3 linked regions of the Arabidopsis thaliana genome follow. The protein of the gene in region 3 interacts with the protein of the main gene of each other region in a pairwise test. Each region holds a gene or a part of one and is shown on either strand. Other genes may lie near its edges. The genes, in order: PDLP3, PDLP6 and AT4G12950.

Region 1 (5,295 bases), on a different chromosome or scaffold from region 3:
CTGCTTTTCATCCCGATGGTCTCATTCTCGGAACCGGTACTTCTCAATCTGTTGTTAAGATTTGGGACGTTAAAAGTCAGGTAAAAACTATGGGCTTCCAAACTATATGACCTATTAAAATTATTAATTGTGTACAGTGTTCTTCATTATAGTTTTCATTTTTTTGGTTGATAATAGGCAAATGTGGCTAAGTTTGATGGACACACTGGGGAAGTTACAGCTATATCTTTCTCTGAAAATGGTTACTTCCTCGCGGTGAGTACTTTGAACAAAATACGAGAAGAGAGAATACAGCTTAAGTTATGCTTACATGAATGATTTTCTTTTTGTCCTGGAATTGACAGACAGCTGCAGAGGATGGTGTTAGGTTGTGGGATCTGCGCAAGTTAAGGAACTTCAAATCATTTTTATCTGCAGATGCGAACTCTGGTACACAACTATCGTATCTGTTTCTACTCATTTTGTTGATAGAGAACTTTCTATGTATTATAAGCTCGCTTTGATTAAACCTACTTTTTTTTTGTGTGCAGTGGAGTTTGATCCTAGCGGATCTTATCTCGGTATTGCTGCATCAGATATCAAGTGAGTACACATTTGAAAATAGTGATCAAAACATCCAAAGCTCAGCTAAAGAAAATATCCAAAGAGACCAAGCTAGCTTGATTAATCTGCACGTTGGGTTAACACAATTTATGTGTTTTGGCTGCAGAGTATACCAGACGGCAAGTGTGAAAGCTGAATGGAACCTTATCAAGACACTCCCAGATCTCTCCGGCACTGGTAAAGTCCCTTACCTAACTCCTTCAATGATCACATAGCGATAATGTTGCTAATTTCGAAGCCCTTACACTTGCAGGTAAAGCTACGTGTGTGAAGTTTGGTTCAGATGCACAGTACGTTGCAGTCGGTTCGATGGACCGTAACCTACGGATATTTGGTCTTCCTGGTGATGAAAAAGCCAACGTCGATGATGACTCTGCGCAAGACTCGTGAACAATCCGTAAAAAACTCAGACAGAACATTCCAAATGTCCATCTCCAGTGTTATCTCGCTCAAATTTCTCAAGTTCTGTTGTATCTTACAGTATTTGCAGCAATGGGGGAGAATTTCATAGGTGCGGGTCATGAGTGAGTGGTGATTGTGATCATCCTCGCTACCTCTTGGAATTCAAACAATGACACTCACAAACCCTCGAGTTTTCTTATAGGCTCTTTTAATCGCTTTGTACCTTCAATATATGTACCAAAAAATGTGTTCTTTCTGTTGCCAAATGAATTCAGACACTAATGAAGATCCCAAACCGATGGTGCTAAACCGCATTTGGTATTATTTAATCTGTTCTAGACAGTGGTGGTCTGCTTAGTATTCCGTATTCCAACAAATGATTTCAGCTGGTCTCTGAGAACAAAATTTTAACTAAATGTTAAAGAATACCCTTGACTGTACTTGGTCAAAAATCACTGGGCACAATATTTACATTTATCCACGAATATCAGATTCGTGATTCCTTTTGCAATTCCAGGATTAGTTTAACTTCACGCAAAAGATAATGTTTTGTAATACCCTTTCTTTATTGTGACCAGGATTGACAATTCGTGTTAAGGTATAACCACGTGTTTCCTCACAATTCTAAAGAATGCTTATGTTTCTCCCTGTCTATATTATTTTTTTAATTTTGTCTGAAAATACTAAAATAACTTGAACAAATCATCGTATAAAAACTACAAAATACATAAACTAAGCTTAAAGAAATACCTACACGATGAACTTTTTATATAGTAATTAGTAACAACTACAAAATACATAACCTTACTAGCTACTGGGAAAAAAATTGTCCAGTTTTAGATGATCAGAGTAAATATAATACTAATTGTCTTCCATTTTAATTATTGTCGAAAACGTGTTTTCATAAAGTAACTATTATTGGGTTTCATTACTAAATTCTAAACATCAAATGGAATTGAAACCAAAAGAGTAGTTATTCTAATTTTAAAAAGTTAGGTGTTGAATAAACAGTTTAAGTGAAATCTAATAATCAAAGACTGCAATACACACACCAAGCTCACTGTACTGTCTTTAGACTGGTCAGTGGTGGCTGAAGAAAGAAAAGAGTGTTTGATTGTTATATTAAAAAATAAAGAAAACAAATTACGCTCCCTTCTCTACAGACTCTCTCTATCCTAATCCTATTTCTTTTTCCACATCTCCTAAAGAAAGAGAAAAGAGTGGTCATCCATCCATCCACAGCCTCTTACAAAATCTCTCTCTTTCACCATTAACACCAAATTCAGAAAACTCAGAAGAAGCAAAATAAAGAGCTTTTACTGATCCACCAAACACAGAATTTCATAAACTCCCAAAAAAGTTAAATTCCAAACAAGCCCCACAACAACAACAACAACAAAAAAGATTTTAATCTTTCTCATTTACCCATATCCTCAAAATTCCCACAAAAATCTTTCCTCCAATAACATAACAAAACAACTCTTCTTCTACAACAAACTATGTTCTGATTTTTTAGTTTCTTCTTCCACACAATACAAAAGAAATGGGGTTTTATTCACTGAAGCAGCTTTTGTTACTTTACATCATCATCATGGCTCTGTTCTCAGATCTCAAGCTAGCAAAATCTTCTTCACCAGAGTACACGAACCTAATCTACAAAGGTTGTGCAAGACAGAGATTATCAGATCCATCTGGTTTATACTCACAAGCTCTCTCTGCAATGTATGGCTTATTGGTTACTCAATCAACGAAAACAAGATTCTACAAAACCACAACTGGAACAACAAGCCAAACAAGCGTCACTGGTCTTTTCCAGTGTAGAGGAGATTTAAGTAACAACGACTGTTACAACTGTGTTAGTCGTCTTCCTGTTCTCTCTGGTAAGCTCTGTGGCAAAACCATTGCTGCTAGAGTTCAGCTCTCCGGCTGTTATCTTCTCTATGAAATCTCTGGCTTTGCCCAAATTTCAGGTATTACTCTCCATTATTTGGTTTAATCTCAATTTCTTCGAAATTTTTTGTTTCTTGAACCGGAATTCGAGTTTCTGTGTGAACTTCAAGAACCCGGTTAAGAATCAGGTTTTGGTTTTAGATATAGGTTTAACCAAAGTTAGGATTCGACTAAACCAGAGAAACTTTTAACTATCGACCTAATTTCGGTTTTAACCATAAACCGAACCGAGATTGACTAATTTTAACTCCGGTTTAAAAATTTCTTTAGGAATGGAGTTGTTATTCAAGACATGTGGGAAGAACAACGTCGCCGGGACAGGATTCGAACAGAGAAGAGACACAGCTTTCGGGGTGATGCAAAACGGCGTCGTTCAAGGTCACGGCTTCTACGCAACGACATACGAATCGGTTTACGTTTTAGGACAATGCGAAGGCGATATAGGCGATTCAGATTGTAGCGGTTGCATAAAAAACGCGTTACAGAGAGCTCAAGTCGAATGTGGAAGCTCAATATCTGGTCAGATATATCTTCATAAGTGTTTTGTCGGTTATAGTTTCTACCCAAATGGTGTTCCCAAGAGATCTTCTCCTTATCCTAGCTCTGGCTCTTCGGGTTCTTCTTCTTCTTCATCTTCTTCAGGTGAAAATTTCTATTTCTTTTTATTTGTTTATTATTTTGGTGGAAAATTTCAATACCAACGTTCTAATATTTGCTGGAAAATCTTGAAAAGGTGTTCATTAAAAAGAAAATGATTCGATGTTGAAGTTAATAATTAATTTATTTGACTATCTTCACTTTAATTCAAAAGGTTTTCAGTGTGAAACTTGTTCTTTTGTTTTCAGGCTCCAATTGTGATTTTTGTTTCTTTTCATTTTGATGAATAAATATTGTTTTTTTCTTTTCAACATTATAGTTTGCTACGGTTTCGTAACAATTAATTCTTTAGAAAAGAGAGCGTAAAGTTTAGGAAATGTATTTTTAGGTATATTTTATTAGGATGATGAAATGGTTTTTGATGGAAAAAAACAGGAACAACAGGCAAAACGGTGGCAATAATAGTAGGAGGAACAGCTGGTGTTGGATTTCTTGTCATTTGCTTACTTTTCGTCAAAAACTTGATGAAGAAGAAATATGACGGTAATTACTTCCTCTCCACTTATATATACATACACGTAGACAACATTCATGCACGTATCACGTCTATAAGCATACATGCATATGTAACGTAATTCATACGAGTTGTCATTTTTGTATTGCCAAAATAATAGATTACTCAGTGTTTTTTATTAGAGATATTAATTATCCTTCTAATTTGAGCATATTGAAAATTAAGTGTGGAAGAGCTTGCATATAATAGACATACACATGCATATGTTGAGAAGAAGAATAAAGGCAAAAAAAATTGATTACTTATGTTTTTTTTTTGGCAGATTATTGAAAATAATTAGGATGAAGACAACAAAATGAGTCCCAACCCCGAAATGGAGGCAAGCGTTAATGTGAATTCCGAGGTGCATGCAATTAATTGTGTCCCGATTTTTATATTTTTCGAATTGTTAGTTTATTGAATACAGTATTTTTGAGAGGTGGAAATTGTGGTGGGATGGATGAAGAAGAGCTGGGACCATTTTAAAATGTTAGAAGATGGAGAAAGTACTTTCAATTTATTTTTAAAAATGTAAATGAATTATCTCATTTGAAGTTCCTTAAGTACTTATACTTGTCTTAATTTCATACCTTTTACAAGTTCCGTGAAGTCATTCTATTGGATGTTATGCTATAGTTTAACAATGGGTAACTCTTAAACAGAAATGAATTTATACTATGCTGTAGCATTTTACATTATTCTGTTCTGATAACGTTATACATTTTTGTTTTCGTATGTTTTAAATGATATTTTGTTTTTTCTAGACTGTTGAGTTGCTTTTTGAGTTTCTGTCGAGTTGTTTTTTTCTGCCAACTTGTTTTTGGTACTTTTTCTATCAAAATCTCGTTTGATAAGTAACTTTATTGGTATAACCTGGCAATTTTTATTTGTTTCTTGTAAAATGAGTAGGATTCCACCGCGTTTTGTATTATTGTGGGCAATTTGCATTATTTAAATGTTTTTTTTCGGCATTACTTAAATCTTATTTGTTCAGAAAATAATCGTGTGCATAATTTATATATTTGGAAATACGAAAGTCGAGTTATGTACTTCTCAATGTGTTGTTGTTTATGTATCTCGAGTGAAAGAAACTATGGTTAATTTTTTATACAACACTCATGCGATTTCATGGAGAAGTGTGATGCTTTTTATGATTTTGGGAATAGGGAACTTGATTGATACCTTTTGGG
Region 2 (4,606 bases), on a different chromosome or scaffold from region 3:
GGCCTAGGATAATATCGATTGCATAAAATGATAAGAAATACAAAATAATTAAAACATTTCAAACAAATTTTAATCTACTTGAGAACAAGTTTTATTTTTTTGGGCAAATCTAATATAGAACATAAGGCGAATAATTGATGATAGAGAATTGTGTCACGTAAGCCGATTGTTCCACCAATTAGGCAATTATGCTTGTATCCCCCCTTACTTTTGTATGAAACATAATGATATAAATTTGAACACTTTATAAAGTTCTACTTACTAAAGACGTATTCATATCTTTAGTATGATATATTAGTATCTAATTCAATCAAATATATACCTACCATTTGACATTATTTTACTTTAAATCATCGTGGATGCGAGAATTCGTTGTAACGAGTTAAGATTATATGAATTTAGAAAAGGGATTTCAAAACTTAGTTATACAACATGAATAGACTTCTTTGATTGATATATAGTAGAAATGATACACCGATGCGTTTTGCAAATGAAAAATCTAAGAGAGAAATTGAAGGTAGTAATAGTTTAGAAAGAACAAAATTCTATTTATATACTGGAAATAAGAAAATGTATAGCTAACTTTGGCTTTAAATTCATAGAACATATATATACATTGTTTTGTCACAAACAGTAACACAAAATCAACAATAATTCCTTTAAACTACAACGTTAAGTGATTATGATAATTAGAAATACATATCAAAGATAAATTGCATATGCGCCACTTTTAAATGTTCTTACGTAAAGATACGATCACAAATCTAAACGGCGTGAGTTTTCTATACATTTGAAAAATAGTAAAACTTCAATTAAAGTGGGTCAAAAAAGAAACATCCTTTAGGATTTTAGTGGAGAATATGAAGAATCTCTTCGCTTTTCTTTCTCCTTTACGCATTTGATTCTTTTTTAAAACCATAAATTGATGATACAAGTCAAAAGTCCCATAACGTTATTTACTTCCCACCTGATATATTAAAAACAAAAACATTAATAGATGATATAAACAACAACAACAACAAAAAAAGTCGGATCATAGTGCCTTATCTTTGGGCTCCATTAATTACATATTGATCCGTTAATCATAACAATATTTGATGATAATGTTCGATTAATTAGGGATGGGTCATTTCATTTACCTTTACCTCTCTCGCACGATTTTGCCATAAAAGAGAGAAATACGACGAGTAACGTAACTCCAGCAATTAAGCCAACTATGATTGCAAGTGTTTTCTCTATCTCATCGTCATCATTGTTATTACGATTCCCACCTAATTACATCCCAAAAATAACACATTTTTAACAATACAATTATCAAAAATATTATATGCATAAATTGTAAATTCTATGCAAAGAAGATGGAGAAAATAAACGAAAAAAATAAATCTTGAAAATAAAAATCTCACATAACCACATGACTAAGACAATACGTTCGTAACTATTCGATAATAAAATATATATAAATAGTAAATACTGTACAGTTAAGTTTTTACTGCAGTTATTGATTCAGTTACCACTGTTAACGGCTGTTAATTTGAATATCTAATTTTAACAAAATTTAATAAAACGAAAGTTTTAAAAAGATATAAAAATTAATTTAGATATTTTTTGAGAAAATTAAATAATAGAGGTATTAAACAGACAAACTAAAATTAGCCGGAGATTTTTTCGGGTTTTTCCCTTAATTAAAAACTTTAAAATCAAATAAAAATCTTTATAAAAGAAATAAAAAGCAACGGAGCAAAGAAGACATTACCATAGCCGTTGGCTCTAGAGTGACCTCCACGCGCAGAGTAACGCGCGTAGCACTTTGCTAAGTACACGTCACCCCAAGCAGCTCCTCCGCAATCCGTTCTCAGCCGTCCGATCGCTTCCATCAAACAGTCTTGACACTCAGTCGCACTAAGATCTCCGGTGCACTGCGCCACACCTTGCAGTTCCCCCGACACTCCTACTCTGTATGAACCACCGCTACTCGCCGCTAAAGAACCCACCACCGAGTCTCTACGAGTCATCTCGTCCGAGTTATAACCAACCGGTGGTCCACAACGTCGAACCACCACCGTCTTATCCTCAACACCGAGGAACGTCGTGTTGTCGTATTTAACGAAACAGCCTTCGAGCTGCAACGCGCCACCGCTTGCCATGGCGCAGAGACTCCCTAGACGGCTTACTGCTCGCGCGACGCATCTTGCACAATCTCCCGAGCCGGAGGAGAGATCACCGCGACACTGGTACAAACCGTAGACGGAGGAACTGTCGCCGGAGATTCCGTTGGTGGTGAAGTTGTTGTATGTGTAGAGAGAAGCTGAGCTAACGAACGAGGTGAGTAGAGAGTTAACGTTTGACTCGTAAGGCGATCCCGGAAAGTACTTTTCTTGTGAGCAACCACCGTAGATAAAAGTATCGACAGCGGCGGATGAAAACGTTCCGAGAAGTGACACGACGGCGATAAAGAGAACTGTTTTTGTAGCGAACATGACTTTCGACGATTGCTTCTTTTTGTTCTCTCTCTCTCTGTGGTATGATTCGAGAAAGAATGAGAACGTCGCGACTTTTTTTTATGCTTGGTGTTTAACTTTTTTTTTTTTTTAATGATTGGTGCGTTACTATATGATTATGAAACACTTTGATTATATTGTATTTTTATCATCTGTTTATCAGTTATATGGTTTGGTAATCGATATACTATATGTCAAAATTATTTATTTGGTAATCATATATATGAAAGTTGGCTAACTTTCTTCATATGAGTGACACATCATCACACTAATGAGTGTCACATGTTATCCTAAATTAATATTATTAGAAAAATAATAAAACTTGGTGATAAAATTTAAAAGTTTAACATTGCATTGAATCATTCATTAATCTTATTTTTAACAAAATATCTTCACTTAAAAGAAAAAAATATAAAAAATTATGTTAATATATCAAATACTATTTTCATTTTACTTTTCTTATTTTGCTATTTTTTTTAATAGTCAGTATTTGATAATGGTTAGAAACTTTTGGGTATTGCAACTTACCTGGTACTTAACCTTTTTTAATTTAGTAATTTTAACTTAATTTTTCTTATTATTACATTTTTTGGTCTACATGATATTATCATGGTCTTTTTGTACTTTATGATAAATTAGTAACATTAATAATAACATGCATGTTTTTTAAAGTAATGGTCTTTTGAGACGTTAGATATACCAAAAAATTTAATATACGACATTCTCTCCAATATAGCTAAATGCAAATGTAAAGAGAGAAACCTAAAAGTATTAACTTAAAAGACTGTTTAATTTTTGCTTTCTTTTTTTTCTTTCACGTGAAAACTTTTAATGCAAATGAGTAGTTAGTTATACATATGTTATTTATTTTATGTCAATCTAATACTTAGCCATGAGTTTATCATGATGTGATTGGGATATTAGATTAAGAGAGAATACATGAAACAATAAATTGTTTGCTTAGAATCAAATTAGACAACTTTCAAACTAAATAAGTAACATAATTGCATACCATTGTATCATATATTGTTGATGTAAGTAATTCATGATAGTTAAAAAAAGATTAGAATTTTGGGTATAGAGATAAAAAGATTTATACATAAAAAATATAATTGATATGTGAATCAAAAGTGAATCTAACTCTACAAATATAATTACATAAAATAAATATAACTTTATTAACTACATAATAACATATACGGAAAAAACATAAATTAGCAATCAAAATAGTTAAACATAATTATTTTTAAATAATTTTTAAAATAACAACCTATACGTAGTGTGAGTATTCACCTAGTGTAATTTTATTTTTGTTAAAAGTAGTTGGTATATGCGCACATCATGTCATCATCCTACACCGGGAAATTGGGAAATTCAGGACTGCCTAAATAATATCTTAGCTTTGGCCAAGAACCGTTACTATAATATATATAGTCGTAGAGAACCAAATGTAATGGCAAATACATTAGCAAGAGAGGCTCAACAAAAGCAGTATTATTCTACAAAATTTATGCAATCAACATATTTTAAAAATAATTTTATTCTACAATTTTTCATTTTACAAATTTTTATTTGGCAATTTATATTATTATGCTATTATGTAATGTTACCAATTGGAGTTATAGTCTCTTGGGTCTGTTAAATGTATTTCTGTACACACTTTCATTATCTAATGGATAAATTGGCCGACTAAAAAAAATATAATCATGCACTGATTAGTTTTGTTAAGTTAATTTTACACACATCTATGGACAACTCGAGGGCATTTTTGATTTAGGTGATCTTTGTTACATTGCAAGAACAATTTTTTCATAGATTGTAACTATTATCTTTTGATCCTTAAGATTATTTCAAACTATCTAAAGTTAATTTAAACTATGCCAGAAAAGAAAATTGTTAGTATTTTGTTACCAAAAATTTAAAAATTGCTAGAGGTCATTTTTATTTTTCATTATATTTGAATCAAATATCTATTATCAAAATTAGTAGAATCAATCTTATTAATTAGAAATAACTTTTTGCATAATAGATTAGAAATTTTCTAAGTTATAAAATTAATAATATATAAACTCTTTTTTAGTAAGATATTAGCTTAATTAATCTCT
Region 3 (3,023 bases):
TTTTGATGAAATGTGAAATTTATTGATGAAAGAATAATGAGATTATGTACAGCTGTAAGATGTATAGTTCATATGTTCTGCACAGGAGCAGAAAACCTATTGAAAAAAACAGAGTATAAGCTTTTAACTAGAAAGTCGTGTTAGCCGTAACAGAATAATTCAAGAAAGAAATACTGAGATAACCGAAACCAAAATACTAAACCGAACAAATAAAAAAACGAACTGAATCCCAACCAAAATTATAAAATATCTTAACCAATTTTTTCAAACCCAACCCGAATGGTGAACCAGATAACTTTTTAGGTTACTGTGTCATTGGGTTCAACCGGATTCGACCATAGATCAATTGATTAAAATTTATTTAATATTTTTAATACTTTTAGAAATTATATAGTATTATAAATATAAAAATAAAAAATAATCATACCATGTTTAACAAAATATGAAGTTTCACAATAAAAATAAAGTGATTAAAATTTTTAAATCCAACAAAAACCATAAAAAAAATACTTAGATAGTATGAGATTATCAACAAAAAAACTAATAAAACATTGCGAAAACAATATAACTAATCACCGTTGTTTCTCTCACCATTCCTAATATTTAATTCCAAAATATCAAAATCAAATGGATTTTGTTAAAACTCAAACCCGACTGATTCAGTGGATAGCATGTTAATGGTGAATTTTTTGTGTTTTTTTTTCTAGTTTTTAAACTGTTGGATGTTAACCCAAACTGGAAGTGTGTACAGGTCACAGGGTCAAACTAGACGGTTCGGGTCTAGCGTGAAAAAAATGGATTATAGAATCTTTAAACGAAACGAACGAAAAGGTAACCGAATGTGTACCCGAAATATCCAAAAACAAAAGGAGTATCCGAAACAATTCAAGAAGGTGTTTAAGACCTTAGTTCTGTTTAATTATGTCCTAATTATGTTATTTGGTTTGGAGAGCATTCTAGTACACGCTATCCTCTGTTTACGTACTTAGCTTTTACATGTTAATCTATACACCAATCAAGGCAGTCTCAGGATAAACAATCATTATCCTAAATAATTACGTATAGACTTTGCTTTGTTTTTTAGTTCGGTTAATATTTGTTTTTAAAATCGTTATAGTTAATTATGTAATATGTTTTAGGTGTTTTAAAGCAAAACAATTTCTTTTAAAACCCATAATTGGCTTTCATTATATTTTTCAGTCACAGTCTACTTTATTAAAGTAAAGTTTCTTCTAGTTAAGTTTATCTCTAATTAAAAGGTTAAGGGTAAAGGTTCTTTTAAACCAATGCTAAATCGTTTGGTGATTCTTAATATTATTATTTCTATTTAATAAATATTTTGTGCAGTTGAGTGAAACAAATTTTGTCATAAGGCATCGGTACCTGCTTTTTTCAAGAAAATGGGATGCTTTGACTAGTATGATATATAATTGTGTTTTATATATCAATCATGTTATATTTACTCTTGGTTAAGATTATTTTTTATTGTTAATGATATCATTGATACAATGATACTTAAGAAAAACTAAAAATGTTCCAAATGTATTCTATAACCAATTATCATTTGAGCTACATTGTTCTCTATCTAATCAAATCAAAATCATAATATTAAGCTATTATGGTATATAGGAAATATTTGAACTCAATCCTTTTTTTTTGTGCGGTTCAAGCTTCTAAAGAGGTCTCAAAATTTGTGTGCAGTCTTTCTTCACACTTTCACTCACCTTTTGTTCCTACACATAATTCTCTTTGCTTTTAATTATATAATACTAACTTGATACAACTAGCCATATCACAATTTCCTAACTCCCAAGAACAAAAGAAAACTCCTTTCTTCCATTCTTGGACTTTTCTCTCACTTTTGGTCTCTTGGATATGAATCTCCTACTATTTTTTCTTCTCTCCACCGTTTCAGTTTTCGCCGTTGTCTCTGGCACGGTGGAGGAGACGGCCCGTGATGTTATTGATGCATTGGCTCATGCCCCTTTTGAAGAATGGTCATCGGTTTTCATAGAAACCAATGACCGGATCCGCGCCGAGGTTATCCCATCTACCCTCTTCATCCCAAACTCTTCCGCCAACGGGAGCGATGATAGACATAAGTTGGCTTCATACCACATTGTTCCTCAGAGGCTTGAGTTTGCAGATCTTCTCTTGAAGCCAAGTAGATCGAGACTACCGACTCTTCTCAACGGCTCCTCCATTCTGGTAACCAACAATTCTGCTACTTCTTTTTCTATCGACGGCGTTCTCATCATCGAACTTGACATCTACGTGGATTCCTTCATAGCCATCCATCGTATTGCATATCCGCTTGATTACACAACTTACGGCGGCGGCTCTAAGCTTATATCGAAATGGCCGCTCTTCACCTTTATGCTTGTTACGGTTGTGTGGTTCATTTAATCATAGTGATATGAATAGATTGTGCTCATTTCACCTTATGATATATATATGAAAAGACTGAAGTCCCTAATCTATAATATGAAAGTCTTTTAAATGAACACTTAAACCTTTTTTTCTTGTACTCATGACTTGGTCATTTTTAGTAACGTACAACTTTTTATTTTTGTTTTTTAAACACGTAGACTGCATACATTGAGAGGTTTAACGATGAACATATATGCTCTCTTGTTTTTTACTCATTAAAATGCCGACTTCTCTATACACACAACACACGGAGATAGATACTTCTCATCATTTGAGTCATTATCAATATAAATAACTGAGACATCTTTCCAAAATTTACCACGACAATGAGAGGTTATCAACATATATATATATATATATATATATGAAAAGTAATATTCAAAAAAAGTAATAGATGAATCATGAATGGTCAACTAGATTTTGAGTCATTATTAATAGACGAAGAGATCTCTACAAAAAAAAACATTTACCATTCTATAATCACTAAACAAAATACCAGCTGAAATACAACAAATCTTATCGAAGACCACTACTAATCAATCTTACATATTCTATATTGTTAAATACTTTAACTATCTATTTCATTTTGCATC

Evidence for each region.
Region 1: the proteins of AT4G12950 (region 3) and PDLP3 interact in a protein complementation assay, tested with the Arabidopsis thaliana proteins (2 studies listed by BioGRID).
Region 2: the proteins of AT4G12950 (region 3) and PDLP6 interact in a protein complementation assay, tested with the Arabidopsis thaliana proteins (2 studies listed by BioGRID).

Annotation. Positions count from the first base shown.
Region 1 is NC_003071.7:14,122,282-14,127,576, reverse strand, and holds PDLP3 (plasmodesmata-located protein 3), read left to right. Parts: upstream 1-2,050; 5' UTR 2,051-2,548; coding exon 2,549-2,975; intron 2,976-3,225; coding exon 3,226-3,597; intron 3,598-3,987; coding exon 3,988-4,095; intron 4,096-4,388; coding exon 4,389-4,396; 3' UTR 4,397-4,771; downstream 4,772-5,295. Other genes in the region: MAC3B (MOS4-associated complex 3B), read left to right, coding at 1-80, 178-255, 345-429, 531-582, 710-780, 857-993. UniProt on the Arabidopsis thaliana protein: Modulates cell-to-cell trafficking.
Region 2 is NC_003071.7:290,017-294,622, forward strand, and holds PDLP6 (plasmodesmata-located protein 6), read right to left. Parts: upstream 2,673-4,606; 5' UTR 2,481-2,672; coding exon 1,757-2,480; coding exon of another isoform or gene 1,701-1,756; exon of another isoform or gene 1,272-1,700; coding exon 1,140-1,271; coding exon of another isoform or gene 1,132-1,139; exon of another isoform or gene 968-1,131; coding exon 957-967; 3' UTR 557-956; downstream 1-556. UniProt on the Arabidopsis thaliana protein: Modulates cell-to-cell trafficking.
Region 3 is NC_003075.7:7,574,767-7,577,789, forward strand, and holds AT4G12950 (Fasciclin-like arabinogalactan family protein), read left to right. Parts: upstream 1-1,875; coding exon 1,876-2,406; downstream 2,407-3,023.